Linked DNA regions of Yarrowia lipolytica. The protein of the gene in region 2 purifies or fractionates together with the protein of the main gene of each other region. This does not show direct contact. Links are inferred from orthologs where the notes say so. Each region holds a gene or a part of one and is shown on either strand. Other genes may lie near its edges.

Region 1 (3,410 bases), about 500 kb from region 2:
CCACGCTGGAAGCTTAATGTAGCGCAGCACTGAAACTCTATTTTAGCTACCAACGTATTGAACTTTAGATTGGTCAAACAGAGAAAGCACAAGTTACTCATAAATGGCCCTAATTAATCATGAAGAAAGACCTGGATGTATTTTTGTTTGCGGGGAGACAGACAAGTAAACAGTCCGACTAGCTGGTCTGGTCTCGCAAACACTTGCAAGTTTAAATTTCTCACCATTTTTAGATCCGTTAGCCCCTGTCTAATACACTTCATTAAGAAAACACAAGATGTGACGTCTTTCATTAGGAATTATCATTGGTCTGTAGAAAAAACCATAACCATTCGCATATCTCTTTTTCGTTTTGACAATATAGAAAACGACGGTAACGCGCACAACTGGCAACCCTCGCCACCAGATAACGCACTGTTATTCAGCTGCGAGTAAGCTCGTCGTCTCTCCACGGGCAATGTCGCAGATTGCCGTGTCCCAGCGTCTTGGCATTTCTCCACATTCCATGAATGTCATAAGTCTCGTACCCCAGACTGCTATAGGGTCAATCTTTTTCACCAGTCTACTGTATTGTTTGACAGCAAACCCACCCCTGGGAACCGACAGACAACGCTCATGAAAATAACGGAATCCCACAGCTGTGGTGCGTGCTCTCTTTTGGCGGATAGATATTCGGTCTTACATGTAGCCCTAAACCTGGAGGTTATCCGGTTCGGCAAAGCCGAAAAGTCTAGTATCAAAAGAGTGGGGAAGAGGACATGAATATGCAGCCCAGAGGGTGGGCACTATAACTACAAGAAAAGCCACGTGACCTGGTACCTGGAGTACGAGCGACGTTGCTTGAGACTCTTACACAGCCTACCTGGCCTGACCATTCATATCTCTTTTTCAGCCTTGTGGGGTTTGTTATCTTCGCTCCCTGCGTGTCTGGATTCTAGCTAATTTTTTCAACCTTGCTAATGGGGAGCGACTAATCTGCAAACTTTGTAAACTACCTTGTTCTCGTTAAAATGTGTTACCCTACTGACCATCCATGGCAAAAGGGTCCTAAATGAATGAATTACATTTCATGTCCTGTATACATTTCGGGACATGTAATCATAGCTTCCCGTATCGTGGCATATTGAAGCTGTGGATTTTCTAAGGTCACAACAATGGGCTTCTCCGGATTCCCCTACACCTTCTCCACTGTATTTCATCTTCTCTCTCCCCCAGGCACAGGCACACGCTGAATTCCATGCGGTTGCATACTTCGATAGTGTTCGTGTAAGGTATAAAATATTAATGCAGAAAAGGATGCACAACCTAATGAACCGAAGAACACGTACATCTCAGCAGTCTGTTCGGAGACCGACGAAAATACCCTGCGGCACACGACAAGAACAAGGGTAAGCCTTCCTTTGCTATCGATGGTTGCTTTTCCACATTATCTGATGTCATCTTGATATAGACAAGAGAGATCCTATTGTTCAAGAAGCTACAGTGTAAGTATGTAACATCCCTCAAGTAGCTCGACTTTAGTGCGCAATATTGGCACCAAAAACGTCAGCTGTATACATACATACACAGTTTTGTTCGCCAAGAGCGAAATGTATTGTACACACACACTCACTCACCGCCCATCTCCTTCACTCATTAACTCACACATTCACATATATTATACTCCCAAAAGTTTGACATGCCTGTGAAAAAAAACGGGGATTAGGGTGATTTAAGGCCTATTCCTATAATTACAATGCTTCTTTTTGGCGCTACAAGTACTCTATATGTACACGGTACGTACCAGTGGAAGGATCTAGCTTGTGTAAAAAGAAATTAATTGTATGCCGCCTACCGTCGGGTGTTTTAGTAATACAAAAGTTTAAGGTTTCTAGAATTATACCTAATTTTACGACCCACTGGTGAATCGAACACACGTACTGTGGGGGTACTTGTACTGATATTTTATGCACGTCGAAATCTACACTTTTTCGGCTCAGCACCAAAGTATCTCGTTTCACACTAATTACACACCATGTCTGAACCCGCGGATCTGTTCACAGCCAAGCCCATCAACTCGGCTCAGCGACTCGACGGCCCCTCTTCTTATGTCTTGCGACAAGCGCGAAGATCTCGACAGGGTGAGGAGGATCTCGCTGCTCTGGATGTCACAACCACTCTCTATGTCGGTAACCTCTCATTCTTCACAACAGAGGAGCAGATCCACGAGTTGTTCACCAAGTGAGTAACGCTCCCAATTGTTTCCCATGTGTGGATTTAGAAGCACAGGAGAGGATCTGAAGAATCAGGGACTTCGGGGATGTTAGACTGACGTCTTCAAGACCAATTCAACCACTCTACGACTCGAGGACTTCGATCGACATGTAGATTGACTGTTGAATTGTTTTCTGAGGCAGCTATCTAGAAACTGGAATATTAATTTCGGATTGCTATGTCGCTTTTCTTGGAATCACTTCTCAACTGGAATCTCCCGAGTTCAAAGCATTATGGCATATCTCCCCGGCCTATACTAACACAGAATTGCAAAGGTGAAGAAGATCATCATGGGTCTCGACCGATACCAAAAGACTCCTTGTGGATTCTGCTTCGTGGAATACTACGAGCACGACGACGCTGTCGCCTGCCTCAAATACCTGCATAAGACCAAGCTTGACGAGCGAATCATTACCATTGATCTGGATCCTGGCTTCAAGGAGGGACGACAATTTGGCCGGGGCTCCTCCGGAGGCCAGGTGCGAGATGAGTTCCGACAGGACTATGATTCCGGTCGAGGAGGATTTGGAAAGCGATGGGGAGATGATGAGCGAGGAGGAGATGATTACTGAGACTAAACCGATAGTCAGCCCAAAAAGAAAACCCTCTGGTAATTCACCAGTAGATATTGTGGGTTTTGTTGAATAATAGGATTACATGGATCGGACAGGTTGGGATCGACGGGAAACAATCCAGATGCGTGTATTGCACGTGGGTGTTTGGGACGCGCTTTGACACCGATAGGTTGATTGTTTGTTTGTTTATGATGACAGCTTATTGGTGACAGGTTTCTGATGACAGGTTCTTAATGGTAGGATTACATTTCGTTAATTGGAAGCTGACAGATGATAGGTGTCAACTGAGAAGGAACTACACTAAGGTGTCAACACGTCAATGTCAACCAAACTCGCAATTGATATGTCAAATCTGTCAGTTTGTACCTTGCCAGATATGTACACAGTTTAAAATATTATTTATATCCAACTGTCTTTGTGATTGGGGGCATGTATTAGCGGAGCCGAGCGTGGACTAATGTTCGTGGATTTCATCTCCACGGCGATAAAATACGGTGCGAGAACAACAGGAATGCAGCCGCATACCTACACGGGGCCAAGTTATCCCAAAGAGTGCCTTCTCTGAAGGGGCATCTGAGGAAA
Region 2 (4,874 bases):
CGATTGCTGAGTGTTGATTGGTTTGCTCATGTTGTCGAGGTACGAATTTTGGAGATGTTACTGCACAGTCAGATATTGGACGTGAACTCTAATGAGGAGCCGAGATTTATATATAGTATGTATTATGTACACGTTGATGGAAATTTTGAGGGGTTGCTTAGTATTATATCAGTTCATTTTCGTTGTAGAATTAGCCTGTTGTCAGTAAAATACTTGGTGAAATCTCTTATCCTGAGAGCCACGTTCTCAGAGCGCCCAGATTATACCTGTAAGGTAATGTACGTAGGACTGCTGGAGCCGACAAGAGACCCTCTCAAAAAGAAGCGCAATTCTAACAGAATTACAACGATGACTTCAAATCGAGGTTTAAATTAGTCATCTAAGTGGTTGTTTTTTTTTTTATGTTTTTTTTTTATTTTTTCATCCTTTTTCTTTTCATTCGTTCAGGACATCTACATCTTGACTGGTGTATAGGCATGGGAAGATTATCGTGACTTCAAACCACGTAACGGGACAACTACAACAAGCCTGTATAAGTGCTGTACATCCCACATACAACTCAAAACCTTTAAATATCATAATCATTAATCTATCTATACATTTTTTCCTCTCTTAGTAAGCTATCTACTGCTGAGGAGGAAAGCCACCCATGGAAGGGATACCGTTGGGGAAGAGAGCTGCCAGAGCCGCGTTGGCGTCCATCTGGGCAGCGTTGACTTGTGGTGGAGGAGCGGGAGATCTGATGCCGACAGGAACGTGGTTGGCGTTGCCTCCGTAGCCTCCTCCTCCGTAACCTCCTCCATAACCTCCTCCGTATCCACCTCGGTCTCCTCCGTAGCCCCCACCTCGGCCTCCATCTCGTCCCCCATCTCGGTCAAATCCTCCGCCCCCTTCTCGATCAGGGAAGGAAGATCGGGGTCCATTTCGGCCACCGGCGTTGGTGGGCATTCGCTTGGACTTGGCCTTGGAAGAAACGCCGGTACCAACCTCGATATCGGGCTCCTCGATACACATGCCAGGAGCCACAGGGACTCCTCCAGTGCCTCCGTAGGGAGCAGAAACCACCCACTTCATGTCTGCCTCGGTAAGCGTGGCAATGGGGATGACGGAAATACCGGTCTGGTAGTTGGAGCAGTCTCGAGGACCGAAACCGACACCCCATCGGGCTCGCAGAGTGATACTGCCCTGCTGGTTGAGTCGGGTGAAGTTCTGCAGAACGGCCTCGGCCTCAGCTCGAGTGTACATTTTACAGAAGGCGTGCTTTCGCTCTCTGTGCATTACCAGCGACTGGGTTCGGCCATAGGGTCGCAGAATGGATAGAAGCTCCTCGTTAGTGGTCGACATAGTCACACCTCCAATGAAGATAGTTCGAGACAGCACCTTGATGGTTCCAGGAGGCAAAGAGTTGTCGTAGGTGACCTTCTTCTCGGTGGGAGGAGGAGCGTCGTCCTCAAAGGTGTCGGTTCCGGGAGGTTGTCGGTTCTGGTTTCGGCCTCGGCCAAAGTCCCGATCTCCTCCTCGGTCTCCCCCTCGGTCTCCAGAACGGTCTCGGTAGTTTCGGTCTCGTCCGAAATCACGGTCTCGGGGATCTCGGTCCCGGGGGTCCCTGTCTCTGTACTCTCTAGAACGGTCTCGGAAGTTGTCTCGGGGATCTCGGGGGTCTCGGGGGTCTCTCGACGGAAGGTTCCAGGCCTGGTTGACATCTCCACCGGGCATGGTAGGAGGAGCACCGCCAGACTGAGCCATGATCATCTTGAGCACATCAGCAGCAGCATTGGGGTTGGCAGCGGGTGCGGGGGCAGGTGCGCCCGCGGCAGCGCCAGCGTTCATGCTAGCAAGAGCCTGCAGAATGGAGGCTGTATCAGTAGGCACGGGGTTGGAGGCAGCGGGAGCAGAGGGAGCAGCACCGCCAAGAACAGCGGCCAGAGCAGCAGCAGCATTGGCGCCTCCAGCAGGAGCTGCTGTGGATCCAGTGACAGGGGGCTGGCCCTGGTTAATGAGATCAATCAGCTGCGAGGGAGGAGACTGCTCAGGGGTCTTGGACATACTAAAGAAGCCCCGCATTCTCTGCATGGAGTCAGGGGGGAAAGTTCCAGCCTTCTGCCAAATCTCCACCAGCTTGTCCAGCTTGTCTCGAGTGTCGTCAGAGGAAGTATGGTCTACACACTCTCGAGCAGCTCTCTCGACAAACTCAGAGATTCGGAAAAGACCCTTGGCATGGGAGCCGTCGGGAGCTTGGGGGTTCAGAGCATGGCCAACCTTCTTGTTCTCCTCTTGGTACGCTCGAGCAACGGCATCTAGAACATACATGGCTCCAAGCTTGTGGCTCAGAGGAGTCTTGTTGAGATGTCGCTCAAGGATGGGAATGAGAGTGGATTCCATCTGGGTTAGTAATACGTTGGGGAAGGGCTATGGGGTACCATGATCTCGTAGGTTACGGTGGTTACGATAGTGGTTTGAGATGATTTGAAAACTTGGGGAGCCATCTTATCACCATATTGGAGTGTGACAAGATGTTCGTTCACCCTCAAACCAGATACAATGGTACAGTTGCAACGTACAACTGATTACTGTGTACGTGTTATACTGCGCGCGCGTGTTTTACTGCAATGAAAGCAAAATAACAGTGTGAAATAACGGTGATTTTTTTTGTATTGTAGGTGTGGCAGCCGGGTCGCCATCTCCACTTGTGTAAGAACAAAATAAGGGTATCATTTGTTAATGTTCCGACAATAAGACACATTGATAAATAGACACTGGACAAGCGTGTCAGTTCATACGATAAAAGTCCCTGATATCACTCGTGTGTTGTCGTCATCATTGTCACCGTTGCGTCTCACCTCCATATATACCATACGATCTACCGGTTGGTCGTCACAAAAGTCAGGATAATACTCACATCAACGTTCTTCATGGCCAACTCTCGAATTCCGTTAATCTTGGAGCCAGACACTCCTGGAGCCTTTGCCACCAACATGGATGCCAAAAGCGCCTCGAATTCAGTTTCCACTGCCGAAGACATTTGTGTTTGTGTGTGTGTCGTGATTTGTGTGTTTAGTGCGTGTGTCAAAGCTGGGGGCAAAATACTGTACTACAATAATACCACTTGATACGATACGAGTACTGTGTTTGTGTTGTCGTAGAATGTTTTGCTGAGTGCTGAGATGTTGTGTGGATGAAGGAGAGTGGGTTGCGCAAAAACTGGTACCATATTGTAGTTAGGGTTACCCGGCCGGATTTAAGGTTACATAGGTTGTAAGTCATATGATGTGAAAGTGTCATCGTGGAATATAGAAGGATGTTATGGTTGCCCTGTTTGCCAAATTTTGACAGGCTCCTTATATACTACGTTGAATTTTTTGTATTATCAAATCTATTTATGTAGCTACTGTACATGAGTCTCAATGGCACTTCAGATTTTTTTCTTTTAACTCAGGTAAGAGAAGAATGTGGTATAAATTTGAGCCCAAGAGGGAACCATAATCATGCTGTACGGAAAGTTGTATTGTCCTAACTTCTGGTCAGAGCTTATTCTCACAGTATAATAAACGTCAGAAAAGGCTTAAAGATGAAACAGTCAACAGATACATCATTTTGTGCTTTTTTAACAGGTTTTTTTATTCTAGGGAACAGATTATGAGTTCTCGTGTCAGGACTCCATGGCTACCATCCTCAAAAAGTTTATAGCCGCCTTCGTGGCCAAGTGGTAAGGCGCAGCACTAGTAATGCTGAGATCATCAGTTCAAATCTGGTCGAAGGCATATATTTTTATAATTTTTGAACACAGGGTACACTGCCGGTTACCAGTACTTGAACCACTATATTACCAATCAATCTTCTTTTACTCACTCACACTACTGTACAATTTATGCACATGATACAGTAGGTACAGTATGTACCGTACATACAGCTCAAATCATTTGACTTCAGGGGTTCTATATAAAAATACATCATTTCGTTTTATTTTGCACACTCTCTCTCTACTCCTCATCATCCTCCAGCTGCTCGTCAATGAACTCAACTGCTTCCTTGAACCGTTCCTCCACAATTCGATGTAGACCGGTGCTGTCACATCGGAGCACTCGTCCAAACTTACGCCTTGGCTTCTTGGGGTTAGTGCTCACATCCCAGCAGGGATGGGTGTCCGCAGTGAAAACCAGTGACGATCGGTAGAACCAGTCGGTGATGTACTCGTCAATAATGGAGACAATAGGGCGCAGCTGGGTCTCGGAGATGAAGTTGATGACGCAGTTGACCTTTTCTCGGGTGTCTCGGTGGCCTACCAGATGCACCAGACCAGCGTAGGCATCACCAAAGCCCACCATGATCACGTTCTGCGCGTCAAACACACTGAGGTACTTGTCCCACAGATACAGGCACACCTCCTGGCTGGCAAACAGTGCATAGTAGTTGTCGTCGTCAGCTCCATTCAAAGCCTTGGGAATGTTGACGTCAATGATACCGTATCCCCGTCCATGTGCCCACTCCAGCCACTTTGTCGTCACGTCAACCATGCAGGAATCAAAGTCAAGCTCGCCAGTGACAGCGTCCACCTTACCCCAGATCTGAGGAGGATCATGCACAAACACAACCACGGTTTCGGCCGAGTGGATTTTTGGTGATGCAAGAATCTGGTCTGCCAGAGAGATTGACGATCCTGAAGCAGGACCAGCAGTGGCAGCCCGTCCAGATGGCGTACTGCTGCTTCCTCCCATGTTTGGAAGAGCCGATAGCTTGTACTTGTCGAACAGCTTGCGTGCCTGGTAGGATCGAACGACGTCACCCATCAGATCGTACGTGGTGATCTCCTTGGGAATGATAGTCTCAAAGCCAGGCTGCAGACATCGCCAGTACTGAGACTGGGTCTCGACCAC
Region 3 (3,357 bases), on a different chromosome or scaffold from region 2:
GAACAAGACTGGTGGTTTCGGAACAAACCACCTGTACATTCTGGAGGTTCCCGAGGAGCCGAAGGTCGAGCCTGTCGTCAAGGTCGAGACCAAGGTTGAGACCAAGCCCGAACAGAAGTAATTGTATATATGTAAATAGTATCAAGGAATATACCTGATCGAGAGACTGTAGGGAAAGAAGGGCGTCAGGTAATGTAGATCGTGTCACATGATACAGCATGTGATCACAATATATCCCGAATGTGCTTACTGCAGTCCGAAGGAGTTTTGGACTACGACAAGTACATGCAATAGATCTCTCTCTCATCTACGAGTGTTTTCTTCGTCAGAAATGTACGTGCCATTGATTTAAAAAAGTACTTTATATCTGTAACTCTCCATGTCCAGAACATAAAACATACAATGCTAATCTTCATCTGTTATAAATACATTTATATCTGGCCCGTGTCCAGTCTTGCATGCAGAGCCACAGCCAGTGCTACTCCCTAGATGAGTCTCCGCTTCACACCCAACACTCAGGCTGTACCTTCAAAGGCATTATGTTCACGCAGCAATAGCCTTGGCAGCAATAATCTCCTTTGCCTCCTTATCAATCAAGTCTCCAGCACTAGGGTACACCAAACTGGCTTCGTAGGCAGCAATGACTCGATCTTCGGTGATACCAACCTCATTAGCAGCCAGAGCCTTGAAACAGTTGGCGTACCGCGCAATGTTCTCTCTGACAGACCGGGGAATGTCCTCGTTCTTGTCACTGTATGTCTCAGTCAAAGAGGCCTCTTCTTCCAGTCGAGTGATACTTGTGGTGTTCTCTCGAGTCAGGTGAGAATTGGCCCAGGCCATACATAGCCAGATCCAGCCATTGACTCCCACCACAGTGTCCACTCCGCCAGGCAGTTGGTGAACATGGCTCTTTGCACGCACAATCAGAGCGCTGGGCACAGTGATGAGAACTCCGTTACGCAGTTTACCGTACCGCAACGAACGGGTATGCAGAGCAGCAGATCCGTCCTGGTACAGCGACTGAACCTCTGTGTTGATGAGATCTCCTTCCTTGAGGAATCCTCGCATCTGCAGCTCGTCGGACTCCTGCTTTCGACGCAAAATACCTCCGGGCAGGTTAACGGAGCCCAGCTGAAGCACAGCCAGCTGCTTGGCGCCAATGTCGACCCGCCATCGCTTCACTCCCACGTCCACAATCCGTCCCACCACGTGGTCTCCGATCTGGGGTTGGTATCGGCCTCGCAGCGGTACCACACTCAGCAGCTTGTTGGTCTTGGTCACCACTCCAGCAGTGGATGAGAAGGTCTTGTTGCCCACCGAGTAGGTACCGTGGCCTCGCATCCAAATGGGGTCCTCTGTAATCAGCTTGCCGGGCGTCACCAGACCCGCAGCCACGTTTGCTGCCTGAGCATTGTCGTCCATATCTTCGTTTTCGTCGTCAGACATGACCATCTGCTCCTCGGCGTCCGAGTCGGCGTCCGAATACACCATTTCCACGTCTTCCTCCTCTCGGGGAGTCGCCTTTTGAATCGTCAAGATGGCCATTGTGTTGCACTTGTGGATGTAATAAGGGTGGTTTGATGGTGGATATGTGCCTGGGATATTTTTCTAAATCAAGGTTTGAGTGTGGCGAAGAGAAGGATATGAAGTGGGTGGAAAAACGGGGTATCGAGTATATTTACGGATTATTTGAAGATTGAATAAGACTCTAAGGAGAAATAATAATATATTTTTAATTTTCCCCGAACTTTTACGACTTATATTGAGCAGTTTTATTTTACCCAACTATTATGTAGACAAAATCGGTTCAAAATTCAGACAAAATCGATTTAAATTTCAGACAAAATCGGTTTAAATTTCAGATAAAATCGGTTTACTTCCAAAAGTGTATAAAATCATTTTTTAAGAGCATATAAAACAATATCACTATGAAAATTGATAGAAAAATCGAACTTGTTCTTTTCTGCAGAGATATATCAAATTCGACTCAGATTTCAATTATTTTCCATGAATTATTTCAACAACTTTTCATACCACATCAAACTAATTACTTAGGTGTATTATTCATTCACAATGCATCAGAACCTAATGCTGGATAAGAAGTTTTCAACATGCACGATTTTTTAGTCCTCTATGAAGTTCAACTTCTGGAAGGGTCTGTGGAAACCGAAATCTCTCACGCCGACTCTCTCACACCGTCTCTACCGCAGAATGTACACACCGCAACCCCCGTTGAACCGCGAAATGACGGTTTTGGACCGGTCCAAGTTCACCGTGTCTCTCAACCTGGCCCTGGCCAAGTTCCCTGATCCGAAATACATTGCGCAGTTCGCCAAGGAGTGCAAGGCCGACATTTTGCAGCTGCGAAGCATTAACCACGTTCAGAAGACGGACGACAATGGCCGGGCCGTTCTTCTGAGACACGATCTGGATCTCGAGGGAGGTGAAGATGTAGCCTCCAAGGTTATGAGCCAGCTGAGTCCCCGAGGAAAGGAGCTGCTGACCGAGGCCCAGGCAGATATTACCAAGATTGTGAAAGATCTCGACTACGACTTTTGGCGAGCCGACGAGATTTTCTACTCCGTGTTGCCAGTCACGGAGAAAGACGAGATTCCCAGTGGATTCTCCATGGTGGGACATGTGGCTCATCTCAACCTGCGGTCTGAATGGAAGGATTACGACCGACTCATTGGCCAGGTGATTCTCGATAAGAACCCCCGAGTCAAGACCGTGGTCAACAAGGTCGATTCTATCGACACGAAGTTCCGAACGTTCAAGATGGACGTTCTGGCCGGTGAAGATAACACCGAGGTGGAGCAGCATGAGAGTGGCTGCCGATTCCAGTTTGATTTCGCAAAGGTGTACTGGAACTCGCGACTGCATACCGAGCACGACCGGCTGGTCAGCCTGTTCAGAGGAGAGGCTTCTTCGCGTGAACGTAAGCAGCAGGAGCGAGCCAAGAGAGAGAACCACGAGAAGAGCACCGAAACCGCTGTCGAGCCCGACAACACACCTGCTACGGCTGTCTGTGACGTCTTTGCAGGCGTGGGTCCCTTTGCCGTTCCCTCAGGACGAACTTCTCTGTTTGTCATGGCTAACGATCTCAACCCTTACTCGTACGAGGCTCTGGAACATAATGTCAAGCTCAACAAGGTCTCCGAGTATGTCAAGTGCTTCAATCTCGACGGCGCAGAGTACGTGCAACAGAGCATGAAGCTGCTGGACGAACACAGAAGGACCCAGCCCACTATTAACCCTGTTCAGGTGCGAAAGCGAAAGGCCGGACAGCCCGTGGTCAAGCAAGACATTCCCAATCACTACAGCCACTACGTCATGAACTTGCCCGACTCGGCCATC

The links.
Region 1: the proteins of YALI1_E29665g (region 2) and YALI1_E34621g purify together in Saccharomyces cerevisiae (affinity purification with mass spectrometry; 6 studies listed by BioGRID). This does not show direct contact. The link is inferred for Yarrowia lipolytica from reciprocal best matches to the Saccharomyces cerevisiae genes NRD1 and CBC2.
Region 3: the proteins of YALI1_E29665g (region 2) and YALI1_D07124g purify together in Saccharomyces cerevisiae (affinity purification with western blotting; 3 studies listed by BioGRID, with this or other methods). This does not show direct contact. The link is inferred for Yarrowia lipolytica from reciprocal best matches to the Saccharomyces cerevisiae genes NRD1 and RRP4.

The regions. Positions count from the first base shown.
Region 1 is NC_090774.1:3,461,278-3,464,687, reverse strand, and holds YALI1_E34621g (uncharacterized protein), read left to right. Parts: upstream 1-2,014; coding exon 2,015-2,220; intron 2,221-2,518; coding exon 2,519-2,825; downstream 2,826-3,410.
Region 2 is NC_090774.1:2,964,150-2,969,023, forward strand, and holds YALI1_E29665g (uncharacterized protein), read right to left. Parts: upstream 3,023-4,874; coding exon 2,900-3,022; intron 2,383-2,899; coding exon 625-2,382; downstream 1-624. Other genes in the region: YALI1_E29642g (uncharacterized protein), read right to left, coding at 1-30; YALI1_E29709g (uncharacterized protein), read right to left, coding at 3,981-4,874. UniProt on the Saccharomyces cerevisiae protein: Plays a role in sequence-specific regulation of nuclear pre-mRNA abundance.
Region 3 is NC_090773.1:710,610-713,966, reverse strand, and holds YALI1_D07124g (uncharacterized protein), read right to left. Parts: upstream 1,546-3,357; coding exon 544-1,545; downstream 1-543. Other genes in the region: YALI1_D07149g (uncharacterized protein), read left to right, coding at 1-121; YALI1_D07118g (uncharacterized protein), read left to right, coding at 2,134-3,357. UniProt on the Saccharomyces cerevisiae protein: Non-catalytic component of the RNA exosome complex which has 3'->5' exoribonuclease activity and participates in a multitude of cellular RNA processing and degradation events.